Linked DNA regions of Macaca fascicularis. The protein of the gene in region 4 interacts with the protein of the main gene of each other region in a pairwise test. Links are inferred from orthologs where the notes say so. Each region holds a gene or a part of one and is shown on either strand. Other genes may lie near its edges.

Region 1 (7,364 bases), on a different chromosome or scaffold from region 4:
GTCCTCATACGAAATGTTAGAATAAATCCTTTTGACTAGAAGTGCCACATGGCATCAGAGAGGTTGGGAAGATGTCAGGTAAGTGGCACAGTGGCAGTCGCACAGCCGGGTCAGGCTGAACGCTCTCTCTGGTGTCACCCTTTGCCTATAGGAGCAGCTCTTCCAGATCAACTGAGGAGGACGCCTGGGGTCTGGTTGACAGCCCGGGGGGGATAATGTGAGGCAAACAGATCCTCGCCCATGTGGAACAGTGCCCCACCGCCTTACAGAAAACCAGATTTCCCAACAGCTGGGCTCCTTCGCTATGTCTGACTATCGTTCAATTTCCCAATTCTGCTAACCCTTCTTGGCTGATTCAGGTTCTGCTCCTGAAACTCAGATAGGCGATCTCAAGGTTAAAGAAAATGTTCTCTCTCCCATTTTCTGATCACAATTCACAGTCCCCTAAGAGGCAGGTTCTGGGAGCATAAGTGCCTTGTCTCATTTCTCCCTTCACCTGAGGACAGTTCCTGACAAATCACTTCAGGGCTACCTCCTGCCAGAGCAGGTTAGGTCTGAGCTTCCTGGCCCACAGGAGCTTGCCAGCCAGAAGGCCGTGAGCCACAGGAAGCAGGTGGCACGTGGCCTGGCAAACCGCTCTGCCGTGGAGCTGGCCAGCTCCCAAGCATGCTCCTCCATGACTCAGCTCCCTGCACCTGGTCCCTTGGGGCAGCAAAGATGAGTGCCATGATGGTTGGCTTTTCTGAGAGGTTCTGACAGCAACTGGATTTTAGAAAGTCCAGCTCTTCACTGCTTTTGGGACCTTTGACCTCTGCAGCTACCAGGGAAAGACACTTCGGAGAGAAAGGGATGAAAGAGAAGTTCTAGCTCTTTATTATCTCTGCCTTTAGAGGGCTTGCGATCAACCACCTGGATCACTGTTCTGATTTCGTTGTTCACTTTGCCCCTACCCTTGCTGTGTTTTTGATTCTTTAATCCCTCTTTTAACACAGGCTAGTTTATTTCACCAATCCTTGTAAGCCACCTAGAACCCTTCCTGAAACATGAGAGGAAATAAGCAAGAAAATAACTACCATATAACAACTCTCTGACTTGACAAATTATAAGAGTATTGGTAACCTTAGAGAAAGCCAAAGATTTCTTCTAAATTCTATTTTGTTAGAGGGACAGGTGATGATCTTTTTTGTATGTAATTAACACCCAAACAAACAAACAAAATGATCAACAAGAAAAAAACCCAAACATCATCTAGAATGATCTATAATTCCCAATTTGAAGAATTAATATAATCAACATCTGTATAGCAGAAACTTTAAAAATTCAGAATATTAAAAAAAAGTTATGGTTGTTTTTGACCCATTAGACCCGTCAAGAGACAGGCTTGGGGTGAATGCAATTTCATTCTGTCAGATTTGTGAGCAACCTTACCGTCTTTCCTTTCACCCATTCAGTGGCTAATGAGCTGGAGGCAATTGCAGAACCACAGCCAAATGTTTTAAACCTAGCATCCACAATTTTCCCCTTTTCATCCACTTGAATCTAGAAAAGAGACAAGAGTTAAGTGGTGAGTCCTAGGACCACCCTCTGGAACTTGGCACTCACGAAGGTTCATTGGGGCCTTCCCCAAGGGCTTTGGGCTTGCTTTCCATACTAAGTGATGGTATTAATTACTGATTTTGCCTTGTTTCAGAGAGCTCAGTGATGAAAAGTGAAATGCAGGGACAATTATCCAGGCCCAACTGACAAAGATCAGCTGGAAAATATGTTCCTCCACCCCAATATTATTTTGTTTTGCGACTCTGGCTTGCATTTTGGCTATGAACTTCTATTTGAGGCAGTCTGCTCACAGCTGCTGGGGCAATCTGCCTCTTAAACACTGAGAGAGTACACAATAAAGGTCTCTGGTTAATACTTTTTTCTTGGGCAGCAGATTATACTTAGTGGTTTCCTCCTGTTTTGTTTCTGTATTCCAAGATAGGTATGAAGATCTCTGGCAAGCTGCCCACTCACCATGAAGCAGCAGATTGGCGCTACAACAACAGTTTACCCAAAGCACTAGACACTATCTTCATGTTGCTCCCAATCTGGGGACAGGTTTAATTTACTGTGTTTCTTATCTCATTGGGGACTGCTAGCTCACTGGGATTTTCCTTTGATCAGTAAAATTCACAAAACTCTTTCGTTGGCTGAAGTTGGAATTTAAACTTATACAGTGAGTACAAAAATGAGATTACTTTTCTATTTCGGAAAAAGTCGGCATAGTACACTAGCCTGGCAGGAGAGCTACGATTGAGGCCCTGTTCCAATCACGTCTAACATGGACTCATCCCATCTCACAGGAATAAAGATGGAGACCGAGTGAAATGCTGTATGTGCAAGTGCTTTGTAAACTTAAAGGGATTATTGTTATCACTATTAAAGACTAGCCATACCTGTAATTTCATTACGTCACCACATGCTGGAGCCCCCACCAGTCCAGTTCCAACATTTTTAGATGTCTTGTCAAGGGACCCCACGTTTCTAGGATTTTCATAATGATCAACAACCTAAAATGAGAGGGTTAAGATAAATCGTGTTCACTCTCTATTGGTGCTGGTCTCTGGTATGGTGGCAAGCTCCTGGAAGTCAGCATCTTGAACCTGGCAGGCAATCACCAAATTTCACCTGAGTAGAAAGGTCTACACTCATGTCAGTGAGAACCATTTGTGACCCCCAATTCCTTTTGTGTCTCCTCTACAACTACTTCACAGATTAGCGACACCTAGAAGAAAAAAATATCAGTGAAATCATGTCTTAATTCCATAGGGTTTTTACAAAAATACTTGACTTTTACCCACCTACATCACCAGACTTGGGCTCAAACAGCAGTTTTGTTATTTTCAAATAAAAACTATCCTCAAAGGATGATTACTATTTAAAAATTCTAAAAATAACTATGGCCCAGGAAGGGAAAACTTTTAGAAGCCTTAAGGTGACTGTTACACAGAGAACAATGCTATGGAATGTGTACGTTTATGTGTCTTTCAAAATAAAAACAGTGCCATTACCGTATTTCAGAGCCTGTCATCACCCTGGTGCAGCAGCGCACCCTGGCTGCTGAAAGGCTGCTAGTCCAAGTTTCCTCGGGGTGTACCCTCAACGAAACACACCGCCGGGAGGGGGAGGAGTGAAGAAGCCCTTGGAGAAAGGGCAGAGGCCAGATCAGAATCAACATCCATTCGAACTGGCACACAGAAGGCCTTAATGTGGTTACTGGTTAGTAGTAAGCACCCCGATCTTCCAGTCCCCTTTTCCTCCCCATCTGACTAAGGATTTTGACTCCAAGTAAAGGCCCCTATAGGATAGTATCTAACGGAGGGACTTTTTGTGCCACGTTGATTTATGGCATTCTTTGTTTCTAGAGTGGGAGTCTCACGTCTGGGGGACTTTGCGTCACCAGACAGCAAGGGGCTGCAAACTATGCATCTATCCCTCCTTCCCCGCCAAAAAAAAACCCCCAAAACAAAACAAAAACACTACGCATGTTGGTTACAAGCCTGACTCCCCTATGCACTCCTAAAGCAGTAACAGAAACGGTCTCCTCGTGCTGGGGCCTATGTGCCAGGAACCATGACAGGACTCCATGCACAGTATCCTTTGTAAGAGACAGCTGAGAGTCCTCATTTACACCTGGGGAAACAAGTTCAGAGAGGCGCAGTGACTAGCGCAAGGTCATCTAGCCAGGGCAGCAGCGTGGCTGAAGCCGGAGCCCGCTCCGGGGGTGTGTCTGTCCCTGGACTCTAAAAGACAAGTCCCAACAGGACCCTGCCTCCTGGGCTGTTGGCGAATTTAAAGTTGGGACGCACGAAGTCGCGGCCAGCGGCGGGGCCCCCTGGAAGTCGCAGCCCGATGAGCGGTAACTGTTGTTTATCAGTTGCAGTGAGCCTCACTGCGCAGCAAGGGAAAGTGAGTCAGGGCAAAGACGTGGGAGGCGACAGCTAGTCCTGGCTGCGTAGAACCCCGCGGCCGCCGCTCCAGCCCAGGCCTCCCCCGAGTCGGCATTCCGCGTGTCCCCTCGTTTGTCCCTACCTTCTTGTGATAGAGTCGGGCCGGGGCCGATAGCTCCCGGGCGGGCAGGCGGGGGCTCCGGAGCAGCAGAGCCGACGCTGCCCGCCTCAGACGGCCAGCTCCAGCTGCCGCCATCTTGCCGGCTTGCGCCTGCGCCAGTCCAGAGCGATGCCGAGGGGCGGGGCGCGTCTGCGAGTCGGCGCCGAGCTGGGAGCGCGCCTCTCTGGCGTCACCGAGGCTTTGCGCCTGCGCCTTACCGTTCCGTGCAAGCCTCCGCCCTGTGGCCCCGCCTTGACCACGCCTCTCGGGGGCGGGCGGGGTCGGGAGCGGGAAGGTCTGAAGTCGCTAGAGGGCTTGTCCTGGGTGCTGGATTCTGGTTGAGAGAGGATCTCAGGCTTCTGCAGTGTGGGAATGCGGCGCAGAGGACCACTGAGTCCACTTTTCCTAACCCTATTTTGCAGCTAAGGAAGCTGAGATTCAGGGCAGTTTGGTCACTCCGTCCAAGGTCGCTTAGGGCTTAGGTTCAACTAGAATTCGAACTTGGGTAGTCCTGGGTTAGAATCCTGGTTCGGTTCCTTCCTGGCTGTGTGTCCCTAGACAAATGGTACCGGCTTGCTAAGTCTGAATCTTCCTTTTTGTATTAATTCGAGGACAATTCCTTCATCATGAAGCCAGCATCTGTGTTGAGTACCTACTATGTGTCAAGGCACTCTACTAGACCCGGGGATCCAACAGAAAGCAAAACAGACGTAATTCCTGCCCATTAAGCTTGCTAATGAGGGAGCAAGGTAGAGATAGAGACACACTCCAGTACTTGCCTACCTCAACAATGGGAAGCTTAAGAAGGAAACGAACACCATGTCCTGATTGAAAAAAAATGAGTATATGTCTATTTTTCTCTCTGAAACAACAGCAAATTCAATTTATATGTCGGTGCCTAGCAATTAAGAATTTCTAAAGAAATGCGTATTTACTGTTGGTTTGCAGTATGTGAGCTTATAAAACCGGAAAACTCAAGTGTATTTAACGCCTCCTAGGTACCAGATGTTTACATAAAGGGGAAGAATTTCTTTGGGAAATGGATTTTTCTCTTGAATGGTGAAATCGATCCTTCCCCGAGGACCTGCAGTTTTCTTTGCGTTTGAGGTGCAGTTGCTGGGGAGACTAAACCCAAGCGCCAGGTCACACTAGGCGATAAGTAAGGTATTTTTTCTAAGAATCACTTTGACCTTCTCAAGATGGCGCCAAATTCTTTACTACAGACACCACGCTCGCTTCATGACTTCCTCTATGGCCTCCACTTCCTGCCCAAAGACCCAACTTCTGTCCGAAGTTGTGACGGAACGTATGCCATGATAATGAGTTTTTTCTCTGGTGGGAGTTTTTACAGGGGTATAAAATAAAATGAATTTAGTGTATTTGGAGATTTTCTCGTTATCTAAGGTTCCCAGTTTCCCTTTCAGTGTCAAGAAAACGGGCTTTTGATAAGGCGCGCGCCGCGGGCAGCTTCTGCCTCAGCGGGTCTTCGGCGGCCGCGGGAAGACCCGAGAGTCATTAGAAGCGCAAGATGGCGACTGCGGCCGCAACCTCGGCTTCAGAACCCGAGGCTGAGTCCAAGGCTGGGCCCAAGGCTGACGGAGAGGAGGATGAGGTTAAGGCGGCGAGGACAAGAAGGAAGGTGTTATCGCGGGCTGTGGCCGCTGCGACATACAAGACCGTGGGGCCAGGGTGGGATCAGCAGGAGGAAGGCGTGAGCGAGAGCGATGGGGATGAGTACGCCATGGCTTCCTCCGCGGAGAGCTCCCCCGGGGAGTACGAGTGGGAATATGACGAAGAGGAGGAGAAGAACCAGCTGGAGATTGAGAGACTGGAGGAGCAGGTGGGCCCGGGGGTGGGCAGCGGGCACCTTCCAGTCTTTCAGGTCCTCAGGTCCCCGTGTCCTGGCCCGCCTCCCTAGTCCTCGGCGGCCATAAAGCCGCCAAGGCTGCAAACCCCTTTTTCATGACCGTAGCTCCTGTCATTTGAGTGCTTACTGCGTGCCCGGTGCTTTGCAAATGTTATCCCATTGAATCCTCACCACCCTGTGAAGGAAGCCCTGTTATCTATCCCCATTTTACTGGAGGAAACTGAGGTTCGTGGAGGAAAGTCTCTTGCTCAAGATAATACTTCCTGCAAGTCAGGCCTCGTACTTTGATCCCATTCCAGAACTCCCCCTCGTAGCCACACGTCCAACAGTAGAAATACACTCATTCATAAGAGACTGTTACTTTGTTGTGTAGGAATGACGGCGGTGATGAAACTTGTGGTAGGAAAAATATTGACCGCGATGGTGATAATAGAAATGGAAAGGTTTGCTGGTTCTGGAGGTTAAGGCCTCAGTTCTAGCTGTTCCACCCTTGTATGTCCTTGTGAGAATTTCTTAATTTCTCTGATCCTCTCGGCTTCCTCATCTGCAGATTGGGAGCAACAATGTCTGCATAATATAATTGTTGTAACAGTATCTATAGCCCAGTGCCTAGCATCTAGTCATAACATGGTCTCTCGTTTGTAACCTTACGAGGTGGTGATATCTACTGTATAATCCAGGATCTCAGCAGGAAATAGGTGGCACATTTAGATTAGGATGATCTGAGAGAAAGTAAGGGTGTGGGTATGGGAAATCAGGAGTGAAGGTTTAGTATCCCATGGCTAGTAACTCCTGAACCTGGTGTCCATCTTTGGGCCTGAAGGGGTGAAGGGAATGATCTGAGTTGTGTGGAGAGGGCACCTGAGACCTGCTGATAACTTTGTTCAAGGGATGCAGCTCCAGTTTCCTGTCAAGGATTGGGGTGGGGGAAGAAATACCTTGACCTCCCTTTCTTCCTTCCACCAAACTTCTCCTGCTGGTGCCTTCTGCTGGGCAGACCCATCTGGAAGCTGAAGAGCCAGAAAACCTGTATATGGGGTCTATACTCGGGGACACAGGGCAGGGAGGAGAGGGTAGGGTGTGTTTGGAGGGGGCAAACAGAAGAGATGGAGCACATTCTCTCTCTTTTTTTTTTTTTGAGACAAGAGTCTCGCCCCGTCACCCAGGCTGGAGTGCAGTGGCACCATCTCGTCTCACTGCAAACTCTGCCTCCCTGGTTGAAGCGATTCTTCTGCCTCAGCCTTCCCAGTAGCTGGGATCCAGGCATGCCCCATTGCGCCCGGCTAATTTCTGTATTTTTAGTAGAGATGGGGTTTCACCATGTTGGCCGGGCTTCTCTTGAATTCCTGACCTCAGGGGATCCACGCACCTTGGCCTCCCATAGTGCTGGGGTTACAGGCCTGAGCCACTA
Region 2 (6,599 bases), on a different chromosome or scaffold from region 4:
CTTCTCCAGCATGCCTGTTGTCATCATGCCCCCTTTACAGATGAGGAAACTGAGGTCCTGAGAGGCCCACGGCTGGCCCGCAGCCACACAGCTAGTGAGCGAGGGGTGTGTCCTCTGAACCCAGGCTTGACGCCTTTGGCTGCACCACAGCCCTGGGGAAGGGGCAGAATCCCCTCCGCGGCCAGGTGGGCTTACGCCAGGCTCAGGCTCCTGCAAGGCAGGAGCTGCGATGGCACATCTGTGTGACCAGGGACCAGACCAGGCTGTGCTCAGCATGCTCACCCGCGGGTTCCCTCACTTGGGGAGAAAGGCATGCAAGGTGGGGAGAGGGCAATGGGTGATCAGGGCTGGGTAAGTGGCAGCAAGTTGACCATTACTTAAACATTTAAACAATGCTTTCGAGGGATATTTTTTGACCTATAATAGTTAGCGGTAAGGACATCTCCTGTCTCCAGCCTTGACTCCATCACCCACTGTGGCCGGGGGCCACCAGAGCAGGCACTCACAACTCACACCCCGCCATGGCCCCCCAGCTTGCAGCCACTTCAGGGGCTCCCCTTTGGTTCTGCGTGTGTATCTGGCCCTGCCGCCATGTCCGGCTTTCTGTCTCCCCAACCTCCCATAATCCACACTGCTGCAGTGCCTGGAAGCAGGCTCACTTCGGCCTTCCAGATTCTGGGATGGTGCCCTGGCCTCTGTAAGACCCGCTCAGGAAGTGGGTTTCCCCGGGGCTCCTGGCCCACCAGTCAATCTGCATCACCCTGGAAGGTCACCATCTGCTTCCCCACCAGCCTGGAAGTCCCCAAGGGCAGGGCCAAGGCCTGAGAAAACAGGGTAGGGTGTGGTAGAATAAACTGCTAATCTGAAATTCTGCAGCTGTGGCTTCAGCAGGCATCCCTGCCACCAGCAATCCCACTTTGCTGGAAACTGCCGAGCAAATCCAGTATGTTTCACTGGGGGCCGGGCGCAGTGGCTCCTGCCTGTAATCCCAGCACTTTGGAAGGCTGGGATGAGAGGACTGCTTGAGGCCTCAGGAGTTTGACACCAGCCTGGGCAATATAAGGAGACCTCATCCCTACAAAAAATTAACAATGTGGCCGGGCGTGGTGGCTCACACCTGTAATCCCAGCACTTTGGGAGGCTGAGGTGGATGGATCACCTGAGTTCGAGACCAGGCTGGCCAACATGGTGAAACCTTTCTGTCTCTACTAAAAATATGAAAATTAGCTGGGTATGGTGGCGGGTGCCTGTAATCCCGGGAGACTGAGACAGGAGAATTGCTTGAACCGAGAAGGTGGGGACTGCAGTGAGCAGGGATTGTGCCACTGCACTCCAGCCTGGGCAATAAGAGTGAAACTCCGTCCAAAAAAATAAAAAAAAAAAATAATAATAATAAAAATTAGCCAGGTGTGGTGGAAAGCACCTGTGGTCCCAGTTACTTGGGAGACTGGGGCGGGAGGATTGCTTGAGCCCAGGAGCTTGAGGCTGCAGTGAGCTATGATCATGCCACTGCACTCCAGTCCAGGCAACAGACTTTGCCTCTTCAACAACAACAACAACAACAACAATAAAAACCAAAGAAAAAGGCTGAGAGGAGAGACGGAAAGAGGATGAGAAAGAGAAAAAGAGGGAGGCAGACATGGAGACAGAGGCAGAGCCAGAAAAGCTGCAGTCTGGATGTGACCCCCACACTGAACTCCTCCCCTGGCTGGCCAAGCCTGGTCCACAGAACACTGGGAGGCAGGGTCAGGGCTGCCCTGGGGGGAAGGACTTCTATGCCGGGTACTGCCATGTACAAGCAGGAGGGGCGTCCAGCAAGGAGGAAAGACCCCGAGGGCTGGGCAGAGTGATGAGGCAGAGGCCGCTCCTGCCTGGCCATGAGAAAACTCACCAGCCACTGCCCCTAGAAAGCCATCGTCTGCGAACTTAGCAGGGGCTGCGGATTCCTGGCACCCAAGGGCAGTGATGGACATGATGTGGCCTAGCCGGTGCCCCAGAACCTCCCCGAGGATGCGAGGTTCCCACTCAGCCCCGGGCACTCACCTTCAAGAGGCCGATCTCCTTGACGCAGTCTTGCCTTGCCTTGGCATCCATCATCTCAAAGATCTTGGGCGGGAGGAAAAAGAGAAACAGAGTGGTTACAATCTGTGTCCAGAGCCCCTGTAGGGGGCTACGGGGTCTGCTTTCCAGTCCCGGCTCTCCCACCTCCTCACCGAGGGACCCCCCGCACCCCAGCCCCTGTAAGGTTTACTCACTGTGGGTCCCCCAGCACTGTCCCACCACAAAACCCATCGTGGCACTAAAGAATCAAGACAGGGAGCTCAGGTGAGCCCCTCCCCAGAAGATCGAGAGAGAGGGCCAGGCATGGGGGCTCACACCTGTGATCCCAGCACTTTGGGAGGCTGAGGTGGGTGGATCACTTGAGGTCAGGAGTTTGAGACTAGCCTGGCCAACATGGTGAAACCCCGTCTCTACTAAAAATATAAAAATTAGCCGGGTGTGGTGGTGCACGCCTGTAGTCCCAGCTACTCAAGAGACTGAGGCAGGAGAATCGCTTGAACCCGGGAGGCGGAGGTTGCAGTGAGCTGATCACACCACGGCACTCCAGCCTGGGTGACAGACTGAGACTCTGTCTCAAAAAAAAAAAAAAAAAAAAAAAAAAAAAAAAAAACAAGAGAAAAACTGGTCCTTTTTTGGTCAGAGGACCCCGCTGCTCCTCCAGTGCCCTGAAGCTACTGGTGTTCTCTCCCAATTTCCCCGACGCCATTCTCTCTCCCGGGCCTCCTCTGCCCAGGCTCTCAATCTCATTCTTTAAGGACAAGTAAGCAAATCAAGGGGCTTGGGAAGCTTTGCTGGAGGATTTGAAGCCATTTCCTCCAGCAAAGCCGTGTTCAGATGGGCCCAGCAGCTCCCGTGGACATGGCTCCTGTCCTGACTTTGCCGCTTGATCTACTTCCTCCATTTAGGAGGGACGCAGAAGGCAGGAAGCCCACAACTGTGGAGCAAGCACAGGTACAAGGATGAGTGGACATGGTCTGAACCTCAGCTCCCCCGTGACACACTGGGACCCTGGGGTGTTCTGAGAGATTGTCCTCATCTGAGAGATGAAATGACAGTCCCCACCCACGGGACTGTTGCCAGGCTCCATGTGCTCCTTGCATGACCCAGTACACAGCAGGCGCTCAATGCATGCTTGTTTTTCTTTTCCTTTGTGGTTCACAGTGAACAGGTGTCTACCTGGTTCTCCCTGTAACCCAGTGGGTTGGGTGCTGTTTCCCTCGTTCACCGAGGAGGAGAGAAAAGGGACTGGCCTGGGCACCCCGTCCAGATGCAGAGACGGCCTCCAGAGATGCAGGTTTGACCCCATGGGTCATCAGCTCACCTGCACCTTCTTCAGAGCCACCGTCTTCCTGTCCAGCAGGCAGGTGGCCTTGTACACCTCGCTGAACTGTCCTCGGCCTATCTTCTTTTCGATCTGGAAGTCCGCCAGCGAGCAGCGAAAAGACAGGGTGTTGGGGTGCCTCTGGAAGAGAGGACAGAGGGTCTCCGTGAGCAGCCAGGCTGGAGCAGAGGCCTGGGGACGACCCCTAGAGCCCCAGCACCCCAACAGCACCCTCTAAGGTGAAGGAGGGACTCTGCTGCCAACCCTGCTCTCAGAGCCTCCCAGGCGCACCCCCAGGGGCTTTCTGCACAGGGTCCCTGGTTCCCCTTAAGGACCCCCACTGCAGGTGAAAAACTGAGGCTGTTCACGCTCCCCACTGCCCTTATCACCGCCTTCATTATCTGACTGCTTGTTTGCTGTCGCTGAATCCCATCCCCGGGGGTTAGCTCCGTGGGACCAGGGGCCTTGCCCATCTCATCCTCTCCTGAATCCTTGATGCCCAAATTGGGGTCCAGCAAGCTGGATGCAGGTCAGGTCTCCCCCGCCCATGGCCACCATGCCAAATGCCCCAGGTCATTGTAAGAAATGGTAAGTTCCCCTCCTGGGACAGCCGTTCCCCATCTCAGACAAGAAAACGCAGGTTAATATTTGTAGCTTTGGCCAGATGTGGTGGCTCATGCCTGTAATCCCAGCACACTGAGAGGCTGAGGCAGGCGGATCACTTGAGGTCAGGAGTTCGAGACCAGCCTGGCCAACATGGCAAAACTCCGTCTCCACTAAAAATACAAAAATTAGCTGGGTGTGGTGGCACATGCCTAGAATTCCAGCTACTCGGGAGACTGAGGCACGAGAATTGCTTGAACCCAGGAGGCAGAGGTTGCAGTGAGCAGAGATTATGCCACTGCACTCCAGCCTGGGTAATGGAGACTCTGTCCCCCACTCAAAAAAATGTGCGGCCTTACACACTGAGCCCATGCTTTAAATAAACTACTTTTTTAGGGTGCCGGGAAGAAACTAGAGCTCCACGAAGACTCAGCAGGGGCCAGCGTTGGAACACGTGATCCTGCGCTGGGACCTCCCCAGGGATGGAGCCTCCAGGTGAGGCCGCAGTGGCCAGGAGGGCCCCGGGACATCTGTGCAGTGAGCTCTCAGGAAAAGGCAGGAGGGGGCGCCAACCCTGGGCCAGGGAAGGAGGAGACAGACAAGGGGAGAGGATGCCACATCTCTGGGCTGCCCTATGGTGAGATGGGCCCTGTTGTGTCTCCATTTGCCCGATGAGGAAACTGAGGCCCAGAGGGTCCAGCCATGCCCACATCACCCAGCTCCATGCCACTGCCCCAACTGAAGCAGGAACCAGCCGTTCAACTTTCTAGCATGAAATGGGTCTTTGCTGAGGGTCACACTGAGCTGGGTGCTGCACCAGGTGTCTCTGGGCGTCAGCACCCTGGCGGAAGGAATCAAGACCAAACCGAGAACTATAGGACTGGTCCTTCTGACAGCTGCTTCCCTACCCGGAAACACCAGGAACTGCTGGCTGGACCACCTGGGTCTCAGCCTGAGATGGCTGTGGAGCAGGGGCACGTTCCCTGGGCAGGTCTAAGCTGGGTCCATCGACTTCTCCTCCGTCCTTCTCCCAGGGTGCCTAAGGGGAACCTGGTTATGTGGTGATCCCTACTCTGGGACCCTGAATCATGACTTAATGAGAAACAGAAAGTCACTGGAAAAGCAGGGAAAAAAGTAAAGTGAAAATGTTTCTTCCAGGCCGGGCGCGGTGGCTCACGCCTGTAATCCCAGCACTTTGGGAGGCTGAGGTGGGCGGATCACTTGAGGTCAGGAGTTTGAGACCAACCTGGCCCAAAAATGCTTGTAAAACTATGAAAATTAGCTGGGGGTGGTGGTGTGTGCCTGTAAATCCCAGCCACTAGGGAGGCCGAGGCAGGAGAATTGCTTGAGCCTGGGAGGCGGAGGTTGCAGTTGGCTGAGATCGTGCCACTGCACTCCAGCCCGGGCGACAGTGAGATTCCACCTCAAAAAAAAGAAAATCTCTCTTCCAGATTTGGCTGAGGGAACTCTACAGAACACCCTCCTGCGGGAGTGAGTGATGGGAGTCCAGGCCTCACGGCACACAGCAAGGTGAGGGCTGGGCCAACCTTGACTTTGAAGCCTCGAGGCCTAATTACCTCTCATGGTGGGTCCTGCTGGGGGACCCGACCTGGAGGGCTGCTGGAAGAGGAAGATGATGGTTTTTTTTTTTTTTTTTTTAATACTTTAAGTTCTAGGGTACATGTGCATAACGTGCAGGTTTGTTACATATGTATACTTGTGCCATGTTGGTGTGTTGCACCCATCAACTCGTCGGCACCCATCAACTCGTCATTTACATCAGGTATAACTCCCAGTGCAATCCCTCCCCCCTCCCCCCTCCCCGTGATAGGCCCCTTCCCGAGTCCAAGTGATCTCATTGTTCAGTTCCCACCTATGAGTGGGAACATGCGGTGTCTGGTTTTCTGTTCTTGCGACAGTTTGCTGAGAATGATGGTTTCCAGCTGCATCCATGTCCCCACAAAGGACACAAACTCATCCTTTTTTATGGCTGCACAGTATTCCATGGTGTATATGTGCCACATTTTCTTAATCCAGTCTGTCACTGATGGACATCTGGGTTGATTCCAAGTCTTTGCTATTGTAAATAGTGCTGCAATAAACATACGTGTGCATGTGTCTTTATAGCAGCCTGATTTATAATCCTTTGGGTATATACCCAGTAATGGGATGGCTGGGTCATATGGTACTTCTAGTTCTTCACCAAGTGCCAATGTCTATTGGGTAAATACACCTGTACACGGAGCGCAAACCTAAGAAGAGCAGGCATCCCTGAGTGCCTACTGCATGCTGGGCTGTGTGCAGACACCACCCATGCGCCAACTCTTTGGGTACTCAGAACCACCCTATAAGTAGGCCTCACTGCTGTCCCCATTTAGGAATCTGAGGCTTGGAGGGGTAGCAGTGACCTGTTCTGATCAGGCAGCGAAGAACAGCAGAGCTGGGATGTGACCCCAGGACTGGGGACTGTGGTGCCCAAGCCCTTGCTCCATATGGGGTGGGCTCTCAGCTCAGATCTCTTCTCGGCTTTTCGCTCAAGACCCCCTGAGCGGCCAGAACTGCCACTTCCTGCTCCAGCCTCCATTCTTTCAGTTACCTGAGCCCTGACCCATGC
Region 3 (7,398 bases), on a different chromosome or scaffold from region 4:
GCAGATCTTTCCATATATTATGTCTTAATTCTCTCGTTTTGCTTGTCAAGAACAGTTTTTACGTAATTTCACCATAGTTCAGTCTAGCACACAAGGCACCCAGCAGCCCCTAAGAACTACCTGAGACAACTGATGATGGCTCCATGCCACACACTAAAGACCCTGTATCTTTTCTCTCCTCCTCATTTTCATTTCACTTTTTTCTCCAACTCACTCAATTCTCCTTCCTTTCCCTATACCTCTCCCATCTCACCCACTCCTTAGCCCCTAACCCTGACAACTAGACCTAGCAACATCACTGACATTGCTTAGTCGTGGCTAGAAATATTCAGGCTTTAAAAAGGTACAGACCCCCAACATAGAGAAAAAGGGATAAATAATAATTTCCATGAGAACTTCTAATTAACGAGAGTGCCTTAAATTGAAGAGTTTTGGTCTGGAGTTATTCTTCCTTGTTACTTGCCTCCTCTCGCATTTTGGTTTGTGAAGAGTAAGTATGACACTACTTTCTATATGCATGGAAACAAGCACATACTCAGTCTAACATTTAAGCAATGCCTGACAGAACGACAGAGTTCATTTTACAATAAGATAATTGGAAACAAAATATAAGAGCTATATAAAATTAACATTTGGGCTCCAAAATATGCACTTTAATTAACCTATCATTTCTTTTTACTTAAGTAGCTCCAATCTGAAACTACATCTTAGAAATGTTTTAAGGCTATTCACCAAAAGAGTAAAGTTCTCTCTCCCTGTTTTTATTTTCCAGCCCACAAACTCAATGCTATCCTCCCCGCAAAAAGTACCTTTTTTTCTGACCAGACGAACACTGTAAATTTTAAGGTTTCTAAATAATAAAAATAAGAAAACATTACCCCCAAAAAATTGGTTTACACTTAGATGTTTCGCACTGAGCAAAGGATTGGTAAGGAACACAAAACTAAGGCAGCCACGTAATTACATTCTCAAGTAGTAACAGGTGGTAACTCACAGTATGGAGCTGATTTCCTTTCTCTATTCCTGCCATGCCAGAGACCTCTGGTAGAACTTCTGAGGTTACTGTATGGTAACCCAGGTTCAGAGACATTTAGAGGTAAAACCTTAAACATTGGAAATATCTTTAAAAGTAGGGCTTTCTGTACCAAATACATTCGTTAAAACCTAGGAAACTATAAAACGAAATCCAATATATTCATCTCAATCTCCTTGCCTGCTTCCTAAAAAGGACAGAGGCCAGCAGGTCCTGGTGCTCAACACTTGCTAAGTCGAAACACTCTTACACGGGTCCTCCGATTCTTGACGGGTTCAGAACTTCTGGTTGCATTCCCCATGCAACCCCTCCAACTCTACAGGGAGAATGCTGGAAAAACTGTGTCACTTTGGCTTCCTGTATATTAATATAAGCACTCATTATCCAGCAATAGCAGCTGAAACGTAAATGAAGATGAGAACTCAGTCTACATGACCTAAGATTTCCCACAAGTCCAGATATTTAGGTTACGCAGACTGCATTATTGTCCGATTTCTCCTCTGCATTAATCTGGAAGTCTACAGAACAGATTAGCACACAACAATCTTAACTAAGCTAGTATCCAACTCTGAAGGAAGGCGAAGCTGGTGGAGGGTTTCCAAGACTGCTTATCCTTCTCTGTCCTTCCTCCCATACCCTCCTTATGTCTTTTTTGGTTTTTGTTTGTAAAATTTAAAAATATTTAATTTTTTTAAATGTATTTTTAGTCACAAGAAAATCAAAGAAGCCACCCATTTCAGTCTTAAGCTCTGCCCTTTGCCTAGTCCTAATGGAGGGTTCTTTGGCCATCTATGTATAAAAGATGAGAGAAGCCAAAGAGACTGGAGAACCACCACATCAATGGGAGCTTTTTCATCTAAAGGTCATCTGTCCACACTGTCCAAATGAGGTTTACCCTGTGAAATAAACTTGGCATAAGTGCTACCTGTTGAGAAAAACAGTGTGAAATGTCACGCAAAGGACTGGGGTGCAGCAGGAGGACTCTGAAAAAGTCATACGTGTAAACCAGCAGGTCTTAGAATGTTCTAATATACTATATGCAGTTTCAGAGTAAACAAATGGTTAATGACACATCTTTTGTAACACATGAATCAGCTACTGATTTGCAAGAGTGGGACACACCCTAGTACCTATGACTCTAAAGTACCTGTTTGAAAAGTGGACCTAGATGTCTGAATTGCCAACCTATCCTAAAATTGGAACAGAATTTTATAACTATGTAAGTTGCCATAATTTAAAGTTAAAAAGATCACTGCCTTTCATTATAATGGAAGTTAATTTGAGAACTTCATTAAAACGTTCACACCGATAATCAAAGAACAGTAGCAATGCAAAGTAAGGTACAGCCAATCAATCCTAGGAAGCAAACACAAGAGGCAAGAGAAATGGCAGGTAAAGGAACTGAAGAATAGCAAATTCAAGAATTACAAGCATTACAAAGTTCTAAAGAAAAATGAATAAAATGAGGCTGGTAATGAAAAAATAACACATCTTACCTTAAGAGGCATCCAAATAGCATTCATAGTGTCAGGATATAAAGACAATACTCAGAAATGAGCAAGAAGTCTTAGTAATTCCCTCGGTTACCAAGTATGAGCAGATAGGAAAATCTTTTGTTTCGATAAGGTATCTGAAAGAGAGGATTTTCATTTAGACTAAAAAATAATCAAGAAAATGCAAATAGTTTAAGCTACATGGGCAGAGATTTTGAAGTACTATTTGCCTCATCGCACTAAAAAAGTATAGAAAATACAGTCCCCTTTAGAAAACGGCAAATGTGTGTGTGTCTCCGTACATATGTGTAGAAACATACGTTATATAAAAAGAGAAATAAATATGTAACACTTACTTTAGATAATGTAAAATTGCTTATCAAACAGCCAAAATCCCAGAGAGAATAAAGTTTCCAGGGTACCTCATAAACACTAAACGTGATTTGTTAACTAACCATCTAAAAAAAGACCCTTGCTACATTTAATTATATTTAGTAAAGTAAAACCTCTCTAATCATCCCGACTGTCCCAAGATTATGCTTAAGTTTCAGAGTCAATTCCACATGAAAAGTAAAACCTATTCTTGACTGAAGTACTAGAAACAAATAAAATACCCTTCTTCCCCAGAGATCGTTAAAAGCAGACCGAGCAACTTAATTTTGAGGGTAGGAGGAAGGTAAATTTGCCTGGAGGCTGGAGGATGGACTAAATGACCTCTAGTAGGATCCTCGTTCAAGTCCTGGGCCTGAATACAATTCCAGCTTAACCAGTTACTGCTTCGCTTAAAATGGAGGCTTGCCCGCGTAGGGACAAAAATAACAGCACCCACTTCGTTAAAAACAAATGTCGAAAAGTACCCTTATTTAAATAAAAATAAAAAATAAACACCTCTGGAGTGGATGTGTTCTTGCTATGCGTTTGTCACTGAGGCTTCGAAGACTTGGCATCACTTTCCTTACCGCTCACCGGATTTTGGGGGAGGAGCGGGGGGCGGCAGTTTGACTCCTGACCCAAGTCTCAGGCAGGCTTCAAAGCCCCACCAGGGCCCCCAACTCCAGAGCCAGAGGGAGCGGAGAGGCGAGAGCCCGAGATCGCACCTCCCCCCACCGCGGACCCCAGTCCCAAACCTACCCCTCACCCCTCCGCAGTGGGGCGCCTCCTTCTGCCCCATTCCCATTGTTAGGGAGGGGAGAGCGCGGGGTGGGCTCAGGGCAGGGGCGCCCGCGGCCGTTGCCCGGCTCGCTTCAGGAGGGGCGGCCCGCGGGATGCGGCTTCCCTTCCTCTCCGCGTCGGTCCGTCCCACCTCGGCTCGGCCTGGCGCCCCGAGCTCCGCTCCGCGCCCCCGGCCGCGGCCCCGGCCCGCCCCCGGGGCAGCCAGGCCCCCCGGCCACTCGGTCGGCAGCCTGCGGCCCAGGCCTACGAGTGGGCGCTGGGCGGGGGTCCCCGTGCCCCACACACGCGTCCCTCTCCCCGAGCCCCGCCGCTTCCAGGGCCCTCGGCGGCGCCCGCTCCCCGGGCCCCGCCGCCCCCCGCCTCCCAGCCGGGCCGCTCCCTCGAGCTCGTCGTGTCGGGGCCGCCGCCTCTACCTCACCATCACCCCTGTCCACTCGTGCCCCCACCCCCAGGGGCACCAGTGCCAAAGACAGCTCCCCCAGCCCCGGACCTACCTGCACGGTTCAACCAAGCCTAGAAGTGGGGGCGGGGAATCTTCCGCCCTCCTCTGGCGTTCATTGGCCCTTCAGGGGCATATCGTGAGCACCATTGGCTGAGCGATAGTGTCCGTCAGAGAGATGGGGCGGGACCGAAGGGGGAGAGGGATGCTGGTGCCTCGGCGTCTCTGTCTCTGTGTATCTCGCTGTCTCTGTCTCTGTCTCGGCCCTTGGAAACGAGAGGCTTTTGGATGAGAGGACTAGAAGCGGGCCTGAGGTGGGAGGAATAGGAATAGGAATCCTGCCAGAGCGTCACGCCAGTTGGCCACTCTGAACCCCCTACCTAAGTCCCCTTTAGGTTCTCTTCTCCATCACCCCCAACCCCTGCCCCTCACCCCTCGAGGTTCCTTCATCCAGGAAGCGACGTGATGAAAACTCCAGGCCGGAAGGCCATAGGGAGAGATGTTATATATGTATAGAAAATATACACATATAAATATTTATATATAAATTCAACCAGATATCAGTTCACTAGGGCCTGGAAAGGAAAGGGCACACATCTCACAGACAGGGAAGGACTTGAGATAGAGCCGGCAGAAGAAGGAATCAAAAATCACTCTTACGAGCTGGCAACAGTGGTTACCTCCTGGGAGGGGAACTGAGTGCCTAGGGAACCAGTGGGCGGAAGACTTACATATCTCGGCGTATCCTTTGTATCCATTGATTTTTGCACCATTCATCAAGATTCCAATTTTTTAAAAATTGATTTAAAGGTTTAAATAAGGTCCCAAAACCAGGGGACAGATAAGATAGTTGGCCAGGAAAATTGGCACAACATGCAGATTTGGGGAGGAATCTTAGCTTTTAATATATTCAGTTCCAGGTAACAGGGTTTTGTAAAACCCAGTGAAGGTGTCCTAGAGGCAACTGAAGTTACAGAACTTGAGAGAGGGTAGACAATCAGGAGGACTAGAGACTATGTGGGGTCCTCTGCCTGAAGATAGTGGTCTGTGACATGCTAAACTCCCTAAGCAGGGTAATAAGACACCCACGGTAAAAGGTAGGAGAACGAAAAAGAAGGTCAGTGAGGTAAAAGAAACAGAATATTAAAGAGGCATGAAAATTAAGGAAGGAAGGGTCTGTGGAAAATAGAACAATAAAACTATGAGAGAGGACGGGCGCGGTGGCTCATGTTTGTAATCACAGCACTTTGGGAGGCCAAGGCAGGTGGATCACCTGAGGTCAGGAGTTCCAGACCAGCCTGGGCAGCATGGTGAAACCCCATCTCTAATAGAAATGCAAAAAAAATTAGCCAAGTGTAGTGGCACACCTCTGTAATCCCAGCTACTGGGAAGGCTGAAGTGGGAGAATTGCTTGAACTGGGAGGTGGAGGCTGCAGTGAGCCAAGATCACGCCACTGCACTCCAGCCTGGACAACAGAGCAAGACCCTGTTTCAAAAAAATAAAAAATAAAAACTATGAGAGCCTCATAGGTCTTACCTCTTTAGGCTCTGGTAACCATGGGACAACAAAAATGAAAGCCAAGGCCGGGCATGGTGGCTCACGCCTGTAATCCCAGCATTTTGGGAGGCCAAGGCAGGCAGATCACAAGGTCAGGAGATCAAGACCATCCTGGCCAACATGGTGAAACCACAGGCATGGTGGTGCATGTCTGTAATCCCAGCTACTCGGGAGGCTGAAGCAAGAGAATTGCTTGAACGAGGGAGTCAGAGGTTCCAGTGAGCTGAGATCAGGCCACTGCACTCCAGCCTGGAGCACAGAGCGAGACTCCGACTCAAAAAAAAAAAAGAAAGAAAAAAAGAAATATAACAAACATACACAGAAATTGAAAGAAAACCAACTATACTAAAATATGGTTTTCAAAATATTTTTATAAGTGTAATATAGCGATATATATACTTTTTATTAATGTATTAGATAATCTAATAGCAGGCCTAATGACCACCATAATTCTGAGGTCATAAATAAGCATAAGTATTATTTTATGATGCCTGCAACAACTATAATGTGCATTGATCTTAGACAATAGGCTGAGAAGTGATCAACTGTAGTATATGAAAATACCTGGCCGGGCGCGGTGGCTCAAGCCTGTAATCCCAGCACTTTGGGAGGCCGAGACGGGCGGATCACGAGGTCAGGAGATCGAGACCATCCTGGCTAACACGGTGAAACCCTGTCTCTACTAAAAAATACAAAAAAACTAGCCGGGCGAGGTGGCGGGCGCCTGTAGTCCCAGCTACACAGGAGGCTGAGGCAGGAGAATGGCATAAACCCGGGAGGCGGAGCTTGCAGTGAGCTGAGATCGGGCCACTGCACTCCAGCCTGGGCGGCAGAGCGAGACTCCGTCTCAAAAAAAAAAAAAAAAAAAAAAAAAAAAAAAGAAAATACCTGTGATGGGCTGGGCACGGTGGCTCACTCCTGTAATCCCAGCACTTTGGGAGGCCGAGGAGGGTGGATCACGAGGTCACGAGATGGAGACCATCCTGGCTAACACGGTGAAACCCCGTCTCTACTAAAAATACAAAAAATTAGCCAGGTGTGTTGGTGGGCGCCTGTAGTCCCAGCTACCCGAGGAGGCTGGGGCAGGAGAATGGCGTGAACCCGGGAGGCGGAGCTTGCAATGAGCCGAGATGGCACCACTGCACTCCAGCCTGGGGGACAGATCGAGACTCCATCTCAAAAAAAGAAAAACAAAAACAAAATACCTGTGATTTCTGTTCATGACAATGTCACAGGTACTGCTGTTGCTACTGTGGTTTGTTGTTTCCATTCATAAATGAAGGAAATGTCAATTTCCTGTTGAACTTTCACAAAAATAAAGGCAGGTTATTTTTTCTATTCCAAGTTCACAGGAGTCTGTGGACCACAGGTTAAGGAACCCTATCCTAGGCTGCGGCAGGAAGATGGTTTGAGCCTCGGAATTCGAGGCTGTAGTGAGCTATGATTGCAGCACTGCGCTCCAGTGTGGGTGATAGGTGGAGACCTAAATAAACAACAACAACAATAAAAACCGGGGAAGGAGAGAATTTTAAAAATTAAAGAAAAAAAAGAAGAAAGAAAAAAGAAACTCTGCCCTGAAGAAATCATCCTTCCCATCCTCCGCACATGGGCTGTGACTCTGCCTTTACCCCTCATCCCTATCTCTCTCTTCCCTTCAGCAAACTCCAAACACTCCACTTCTCAATCCTGCCTACACGTGTCT
Region 4 (7,369 bases):
CCGTGGCCACAAGATGCTGCTCACCGTTTCGAAGAGGCTGATAAGGGGAAAAGGGCCCGGGTCTGCAGGAGAGCCTCCACTTCTTTCATGCAGCTGGGCAACCCTGGGGCAAATTGCTTAACCTCTCTGGGTCGCTATGGTGTCAACAGAGGCAAGAGCACTGACTGCTCAGGTTGCTACAAAGAAGTGCACCAAGGTTTGTAAAGGGCCTAGCGTGAAGCTGGGGGCTTCCTTTAAAGGAGGGTTTCTGAGCCCTGGCCTGGGCTCCTCTGGTCCAACCCAGCTAGGAAAAGGCCTAAAGTACACCCAGCACTTACCACAGCCAGCCATTGTTCTTGGCATCACAGACATGACTCATTGAGCCCTCGAGTGGAGGTGTCCCTGCTAAGTAGGCCCTACTAGGATTCCCATTTTACAGATGGGGAGACTGAGGCACAGAGCAGCAGCAGGATTTGGCCTTCTAACTTCAGACCCCTGCACTCCAAGCCTTTAGGCTCAAGGTTGCACATGTCTCCTATCCCTGATCCTTTCCCCATGAAGCACAAGGACAGAAGGAGCGGGCGGCAGACTGCCTGGGAGGGAAACTCACCATTTTTGTCCGCACGGCGGAAAATCTGCAGAAAAGAGAGGCCGAGTCAGCCCTGGGCCAGGGAGAGGCAAGCCCTTCCGGCGGCCTCTGACCGGATACTGGGATCCTTCTCTTCTCCTAGGAGCAGCTTAGGGTCTTGGGAAGCTGAGCCCCTCTTCCCTCTCCCCATCCCTGGGCTGGGATCCAGGGCCAACGGGAGAGGGATGTTGCAGGCAGAGGCCTTCGCCTTGCCCACGCGGAAGCGGCTGCCAGTACCACCAGCCTGCCCCCAGCCATGCCGACAGACACACGCAGGCCTACGGCCATCCCTGCAGGTGTACATCCACAGTCATCAGTCCACACGGCTTCAACCACCGCCAAACGCTCAGCTGCATACAACCACACTCCCAATCAGTGTCCCAGGGAGCGCCACAACCTTTACCACTGCAGTCCTTCCAGAACCCCTGGTGTGTTTCCAGGGAGGTTGGGATAAGTCCGACGGAGGTGTTTGCAAGGCCTGGTGACAATGCCAGCCACAGGCAGGACTGTGTTAATTTTGGGGTGCAGGAGGAGAAACAGGACGCCAAGAGCTCGGAAAAGCAGCCACAGACGAGGTTCTGGCTGCATTAGGCAGGGATGGGTGAAGGGCAGCTCCAAGGCTGGCCTGAACCTACAGACCAGGTGCCTCCTCTTCCTGCCTTTCCAGTGACATCCAAATCCCTGGGCTAGAGCTGCTCCCCTTCCCTCAAGGTCTGGCTGGCAGTGCCGCTTGCCAGGCTGAGGCTCGAAGGCAGCTTTCCGCCCATTCCAACACCATCACCTGGAGAGCTTTCAAAACCTCCTCAGCCCAGGCCACACCCCAGGGTGACTGAATCAGCTGTTGTGAGGCCCGCTCTGATTTCAGCATATTTAAAGCTTCCCAGGCACAATGTTGACACCTGTGTGCTAAGACCTTGCTATTCACAGGAGCTCTTCGGGGGTCCTGCAGGCGCTTGTTTGCAATGCAGGACGTCCCACCTACTCTGCACTGTAGTGGAGTCAGACCTTTCACCGTAACCAGATCCTAAGGGGACTGATTCACTAGCACTTTTTATTTGTTATTTTTGGAGATGGGGTCTCGCTCTGCTGCCCAGGCTGGAGTGCAGTGATGCGATCTTGGCTCACTGCAACCTCTGCCTCCCAGGTTCAAGCAATTCTCCTGTCTCAGCCTCTCGAGTAGCTGGTACTACAGGCACCTGCCACAATGCCTGGCTAATTTTTGTATTTTTTAGTGGAGACGGGGTTTCACTTTGTTGGTCAGGCTGTCTCGAACCCCTCACCTCAGGTGACTCACCTGCCTCGGCCTCCCAAAGTGCTGGGATTACAGGCACGAGCCACGGTGCCTGGCCCACCAGCACTTTAAAGCCTGAGAAGGATCCCAGGGTCTGGGGTGGCCCCCACCCCAATCTCACTGGCTTGTTGTAGCAAGGAGGGTGCGAAGACCCAGGGAGGGGCAGCAACATGTGCACATTTCCCTACACCAGGGAGGGCTGCTGAGGCCAGGTCAGCCATGGGGAGGAGGTAATACTCACTCTGACCCTTCCACCCTCTGTCCTCGCCTTAGGGTAAAGGACAGATGCCCTCCACCCCCATCCCTCCAAGCAACGAGACAGGGGCACCCTCGGTCATTTCCAGGCACCTGGGCGGTGAGACTGAAGCACGGGAGGGCCTCTCAAACATCACCCCTCCTCCCGGCTGAACCTCAGACCCCCAGGCCCTCCTCAAAGATCCAGCCTGGGCACCCTGCAGCCCTGTTCCTGACTGGGCAAGGTTCCTCAAAGCTGGGGCCCTATCTGGGTGTCCCAGATCCCCCTTGAGGCCAGGCACCAGGCAGGTGCCGACTCTGGGCAGGAATGCTGAACACATGAGTGACATGGCAGGGCTGACACCTGGTAATGTCAGCCAGCTCCAGGAGTCTGCAGGAGCACCCCTCGCCCCGCCCCTGCTCATCACTCCATTTGGCTGGTGAGGAGATGGAGGCTCAGAGCCCCCACCCTCACTGGGCAGGGCTTCCGTGCAGGGCAGCCTGGGCCTGCAGGGCTCTGCCTAGGACTTTCAGTGGGAGCTCTGTGGGGGTCCTCCTGAGACGGGGTGGGGGGTGTGTGTGTGGCTGCACAGGTGTTTCTCTGGCTGTGTGCGAGTGTGTGTCTGTGCCTGTGAGTGTGGCACTCTAGAGCTTCCCCTGCTGTGTCCAGCACCCCCCCGCCCCGAGTCCAGACCCTGCCAAGGGTTCCAGGAGCAGGAAAGAGGAGAGAGGAAGGGAAGGAGCCCCCCCGACTCACAGGGATCTGCTGTACACGCGTGTACACACATTCACACACACCCACCACTCTCCCAGAAATCCACCACACAGGCAGAGGCAGCCCCCAGCGCCATCCCAGAAGGACCCTCGCTGAAACACGCAGTCCACACCCCCAGAAGCCCCCTCCACCTCCTCCTAGTGCTCTCTGCCGGGAGAAGTCCTCCTCCTCCAAGCCGCTCCCTCCCGGGTGGGGTGGGCGGGAGGGTGGGGTGGGCTTCCCAGAGGTGGGTGGTTTGCGTCCCAGGGGAGTTAGGAGGGGTGGTGAGGGGTGAGTCTGGTCCATGAAGAGGACCCAGCTCTCGCTAGGGTAGAGGGGTGTGGGGAAGGGAACAGAAGACAGGAGAGGGCTTGGAATGGAAGGGGGCGGGGTGGGGAAGACCAGAGAGGTACTGGCTCAGGGCTGATGGGCGATGGCTCTGGCTCTACGGAAAGGAGACGAGAAGACAGAAGGTGGGGAGGGAGCTTCACTTTTAAAGTGGCAGTAGCTGGGGCGAAGGGTCTTTGGGCGTGAGATGAGCAGGGGCTCAGGGTCTAGAGCGAAGAGAGGTGGGCTAGAGGTAGGGGTTGTTGGGGGCCTCTGAAAAGTATCGCTCCGGACAGGAGCCGGGATGGAGAGGAGGAGGGGGCTGGAGGCGGCGAGGGAGGAGGAGGGGGCTGGAGGCGGCGAGGGACTCCGGTCCCGCGGGGTAAAGGGTGGGGGGTTGGCTTGGACAAAACTAGGGGGACAGTGGCCGGGTCCGGGGGCTCACGGGTCCTCACTGTGGGCAGGCAGGGACTCGGAGAAGTGCGGGTGGAGGGGCGGAGGGGGTCTCCCGGCCCAGGGAGACAACTGGGTTGGAGACCGGCCTGGACGTGGCGGGGCTGGGGTCTCCCGCTCTGGCACGCAAAGGGGCTGGGGGTCTCCTGCCCGGGTAGGGGGGGCCTCGCGAGTCGCGGCGTCGGGGTCCGCCCGAGGGGCGGATGGGGCTCCGGGTCCCGGCCGGCGCGTACTCACGTCCAGGATGACGGCGGTGCCCCCGCGCGGCGAGGCTGGGCCGGGGTCCGCGGGGACGGCGGGGGCCAGCGGCTCCCGGGGCTCGCCCATCCTGGCGCCCACCCAGCGCAGCAGCCCGCCCAGCGCCCGGCCCTGCTGCGGTGGCTCCCGGAGCAGCCTGTGCGCGCCGGCCCTGCACAGGCGCGCCGCCCGCTCGCACATCGCGCCGCGCCCGCCGCCGCCGCCCGGAAGCCCGCCGACCCCCGCCCGGCCGCGGCCCGCCCCCGCGCGACCCCCTCCCCGCGCCGGCCGCGCTGCCCCGCCCTCTCTCCCGCTGCCCCCGCGGCCGCGGACACCGCGGGGACTGGCCAGCGCCGGGGGGCGGGCCGGCCGGACCCCGAGACACGTGCCCGCTCCCCGCCGCCCCCACCCCCGGCGGCCGGGCGCGGGGCCTGAGGACTGCCCGCCGGGGCTAGGGGCGCGGGCGCAGCCACAGATGGGGCTACCCAGAGGCGCGGGGTGGGTGGGGCCTGGGGGCAGGGCGGCGCCCCTGGGGTCTGCTCCCCAAAAGTCTCCTGCTGTCCCCGCTTCTAAAGTCCCCCCTCCCACTCGCGGCGCGCTGCAGGGGCCGGAGCGCGGATGTCCAGCCAGCCCGGAGCGCCCTCTGCCGGCTCCAGCCCCAGGGAGCGGCGCCCACGCACCGCGGGCCCTGTCACACCCGAGAGCGCCCACCCTTACCTCCCGCGGGCGTGGACGACCCTTCAGGCCGCCCCTTTCGTTACACAACGCCCAGAACCAGTCTTCACCCCAGAACATCTTTCTTTTACACTCCATCCACCCATCCATCTATCCACCCACCCACCCGTCCGTCCATCCATCCATCCATCCGCCCGCCTACCTATCCATCAATCCATCTATCCATCCATCCACCCACCCACCGGCCCATCCATTCATCCATCCATCCACCCACCCACCATCCTCCCATCCATCCATCCATCCATCCACCCACCCACCCATCCATCCATCCGCCCTCCTACCTGTCCATCAATCCATCTATCCATCCATCCACCCACCCACCCGCCCATCCATTCATCCATCCATCCACCCACCCACCATCCTCCCATCCATCCATCCATCCATCCATCCATCCATCCATCCATCCATCCATCCATCCATCCATCTGCCCGCCTGCCCATCTGTCTGTCCATCCACCCACCCACCCACCCTCCCATCCATTCATCCATCCATCCATCCACCTACCATCCTCCCATCCATCCATCCATCCATCCATCCTCCCTCCCATCCATCCACCCACCCACCCTCCCTCCCGTCCACCTACCCATCATCCTCCCATCCATCCAACCATCCTCCCATCTATCCATCCATCCACCCATTCATTTAAAAGATGAATTAAGGAGAACCCACTAGGTGCCAGGCAGGTGCCCAAGTGCTGAGTTCCAGCAATGGGCAAAACAGATGGTGTACTTGGCCTCCTGGAGCTCCTGGAGCTTACATCCAAGTGGGCAGAGCCAAACACTGAAATGATTCCACAAATAAATGAACAATTAAAACTGAACTGCTGGCAGGGTGTGGTGGCTCATGCCTGTAATACCAGCACTTTGGAGAGCCAAAGAGGGCGGATCACTTGAGGTCAGGAGTTCAAGACCAGCCTGGCCAACATGGTGAAACCCCTGTCTATTAAAAATAAAATAACTAGCTGGGTGAGGTGACAGGCACCTGTAATCCCAGTTACTTGGGAGGCTGAGGCAGGAGAATCGTTTGAACTCAGAAGCAGAGGTTGTAGTGAACCAAGCACCACTGCACTCCAGCCTGGACAACAAAATGAGACTCTGTCTCAAAAAAATAGAAAAATAAAAACTGAACTGCTATGAAAAGGTAGCACCTTGGACCATGAGAGGAGTCTTTGCTGCGATGGCAGTGGAGGGATTTGTGTCAGAAGAGGCTTCCTAGAGGAAGTGATTCTTACCCTGAGAGACCCCAAGGAAGAGGAATTAAAGAAAGGCGGGAAACTGTCCTGGGCTGGGGACCCTCTGTGCAAAGGCCCTGCGGCAGGCAGGGACCTGGCCAGCAGGAGGGACTGAAAGGAAGCCACGTGGCAGAACAGAGAGGAGAGGGGACAGACTGCGGGGGGGGGGGGGGCAGAACTGCAGTGCCCTCCGGGACACCACTCCCTGCACACACCCGCCACTGCCACCCCCAGGCTGTAGTACAGCTGCCCGCTCAACTGCTCCCACACTTGGGGCACCATCCTTTGTACCCCAAGGCCCCAGTCATGGACCTCATCCAGGACCACATGCCCCAGGACTCCTCCCCCAATCGCCTTCCCTCCCTTCCCCCGAGCCCAGTGCAGGGTCCCGGGAACACAGCTCCTTCCCTGAGCACAGAGTCCTCAGACGCATGAGTGCAGGTGGGCACTGGCTTTATTTGGGACCTGCTTCTGGAAGGCGCAGGCCTGCAGGTCTCCTGCTGGGTGCTCAGCTGGTCCTGGTGATCCCAGCTCACACCAGCAGCTTTACCCCCAAATCCTAGGTCTAGGCCGACCCTGGCCTGCGGCCACTGTTACCACCTCAGACACTGGGATCCCTACTCCTCTTGACCCCAAAGGTCAGCTATGTGGGCTGACGCCCCTCCCTGGGGCATCTTTGGACGGACCCTACATCCAGCAGAGATGTGGTCATCTTTGTCCTCTCAGGGCCTGGGAGCCAGCAGGTCTGGCCGGGTGTTAGGGTGGCTTCCTGGTCTCCTTCCTTAGCAGGGAGCTGGCCACAGCCAGGGCTCCCCCCTGCACAAACCTCACGAAGTTGTCCCCGGCCAGCGGCCCCATGGCGTACAGGCCCTCCTGGCGGGTGCTCTGGTAGGTGAAGGGGTCCACGTCAATGGGGTTCCTCTTGGTGCTCAGTGGCTGGTCAGGGTCCACTGCAAAGTCAGCCCCTGCCCCAGGCAGGAAGGAGAGGTCGGGGTGGGAGCCGATGAGGACCAGCACCAGGGAGACCTCAAACACCTTCTCGACACCCTTGAGGTCCTGGAACACGGCCTGGCAGTCTTCCTTGAAGCACAGCAGCCGGTGCCCGGGGAGGCTGCGGTAACCCTCGTAGGGGCTGGGCGACAGGATGGACTGCTCCCGCATCATCTGATGCACCTTGTGGTACTCAGGGTACAGCATCTTGGGCAGCTGGTTGAACACCAGGCCAGGGTCGTCCACAGCCCGGCGGAAGGCATGGATCACGGGGATGTTGTAGTGGCGGGCGTAGAGGACTGCATCAGCCGCTGACAGCCCCGCGCCAATGATGAGGACAGGGTCCGAGGCTGGGGTCAGCGCACCCACCCTTGTGGCCGCCTCCAGAGCGGACAGCTCATGGTGGATGAAGGGCAGGGCCTCCCCGGGGATGCCCAGCCGGGCTGGGCTGTCGAACGTGCCTGTGGCGAGGACCACGTTGCGGGCCCACAGCGAGAAGGGCTGCCGGCC

Evidence for each region.
Region 1: the proteins of NECAB2 (region 4) and ISCU interact in binary tests that used the Homo sapiens proteins (3 or more experiments, as listed by UniProt). The two-hybrid records come from large-scale screens. The link is inferred for Macaca fascicularis from reciprocal best matches to the Homo sapiens genes NECAB2 and ISCU.
Region 2: the proteins of NECAB2 (region 4) and NEK6 interact in binary tests that used the Homo sapiens proteins (3 or more experiments, as listed by UniProt). The link is inferred for Macaca fascicularis from reciprocal best matches to the Homo sapiens genes NECAB2 and NEK6.
Region 3: the proteins of NECAB2 (region 4) and KANSL1 interact in binary tests that used the Homo sapiens proteins (3 or more experiments, as listed by UniProt). The two-hybrid records come from large-scale screens. The link is inferred for Macaca fascicularis from reciprocal best matches to the Homo sapiens genes NECAB2 and KANSL1.

What each region holds. Positions count from the first base shown.
Region 1 is NC_088385.1:115,393,491-115,400,854, reverse strand, and holds the start of ISCU (iron-sulfur cluster assembly enzyme ISCU), read right to left. Parts: upstream 4,210-7,364; 5' UTR 4,183-4,209; coding exon 4,069-4,182; intron 3,178-4,068; exon of another isoform or gene 2,547-3,177; coding exon 2,433-2,546; intron 1,540-2,432; coding exon 1,429-1,539; intron 1-1,428. Other genes in the region: SART3 (squamous cell carcinoma antigen recognized by T-cells 3), read left to right, coding at 5,615-5,926.
Region 2 is NC_088389.1:19,763,164-19,769,762, forward strand, and holds part of NEK6 (serine/threonine-protein kinase Nek6), read right to left. Parts: intron 3,524-6,599; coding exon 3,383-3,523; intron 2,107-3,382; coding exon 2,044-2,106; intron 1-2,043. UniProt on the Homo sapiens protein: Protein kinase which plays an important role in mitotic cell cycle progression. Required for chromosome segregation at metaphase-anaphase transition, robust mitotic spindle formation and cytokinesis.
Region 3 is NC_088390.1:67,801,410-67,808,807, forward strand, and holds the start of KANSL1 (KAT8 regulatory NSL complex subunit 1), read right to left. Parts: upstream 4,239-7,398; 5' UTR 4,194-4,238; intron 2,664-4,193; 5' UTR 2,530-2,663; intron 1-2,529. UniProt on the Homo sapiens protein: Non-catalytic component of the NSL histone acetyltransferase complex, a multiprotein complex that mediates histone H4 acetylation at 'Lys-5'- and 'Lys-8' (H4K5ac and H4K8ac) at transcription start sites and promotes transcription initiation.
Region 4 is NC_088394.1:79,839,161-79,846,529, reverse strand, and holds the start of NECAB2 (N-terminal EF-hand calcium-binding protein 2), read right to left. Parts: upstream 4,138-7,369; 5' UTR 4,105-4,137; coding exon 3,904-4,104; intron 615-3,903; coding exon 590-614; intron 1-589. Other genes in the region: OSGIN1 (oxidative stress-induced growth inhibitor 1), read right to left, coding at 6,626-7,369. UniProt on the Homo sapiens protein: May act as a signaling scaffold protein that senses intracellular calcium.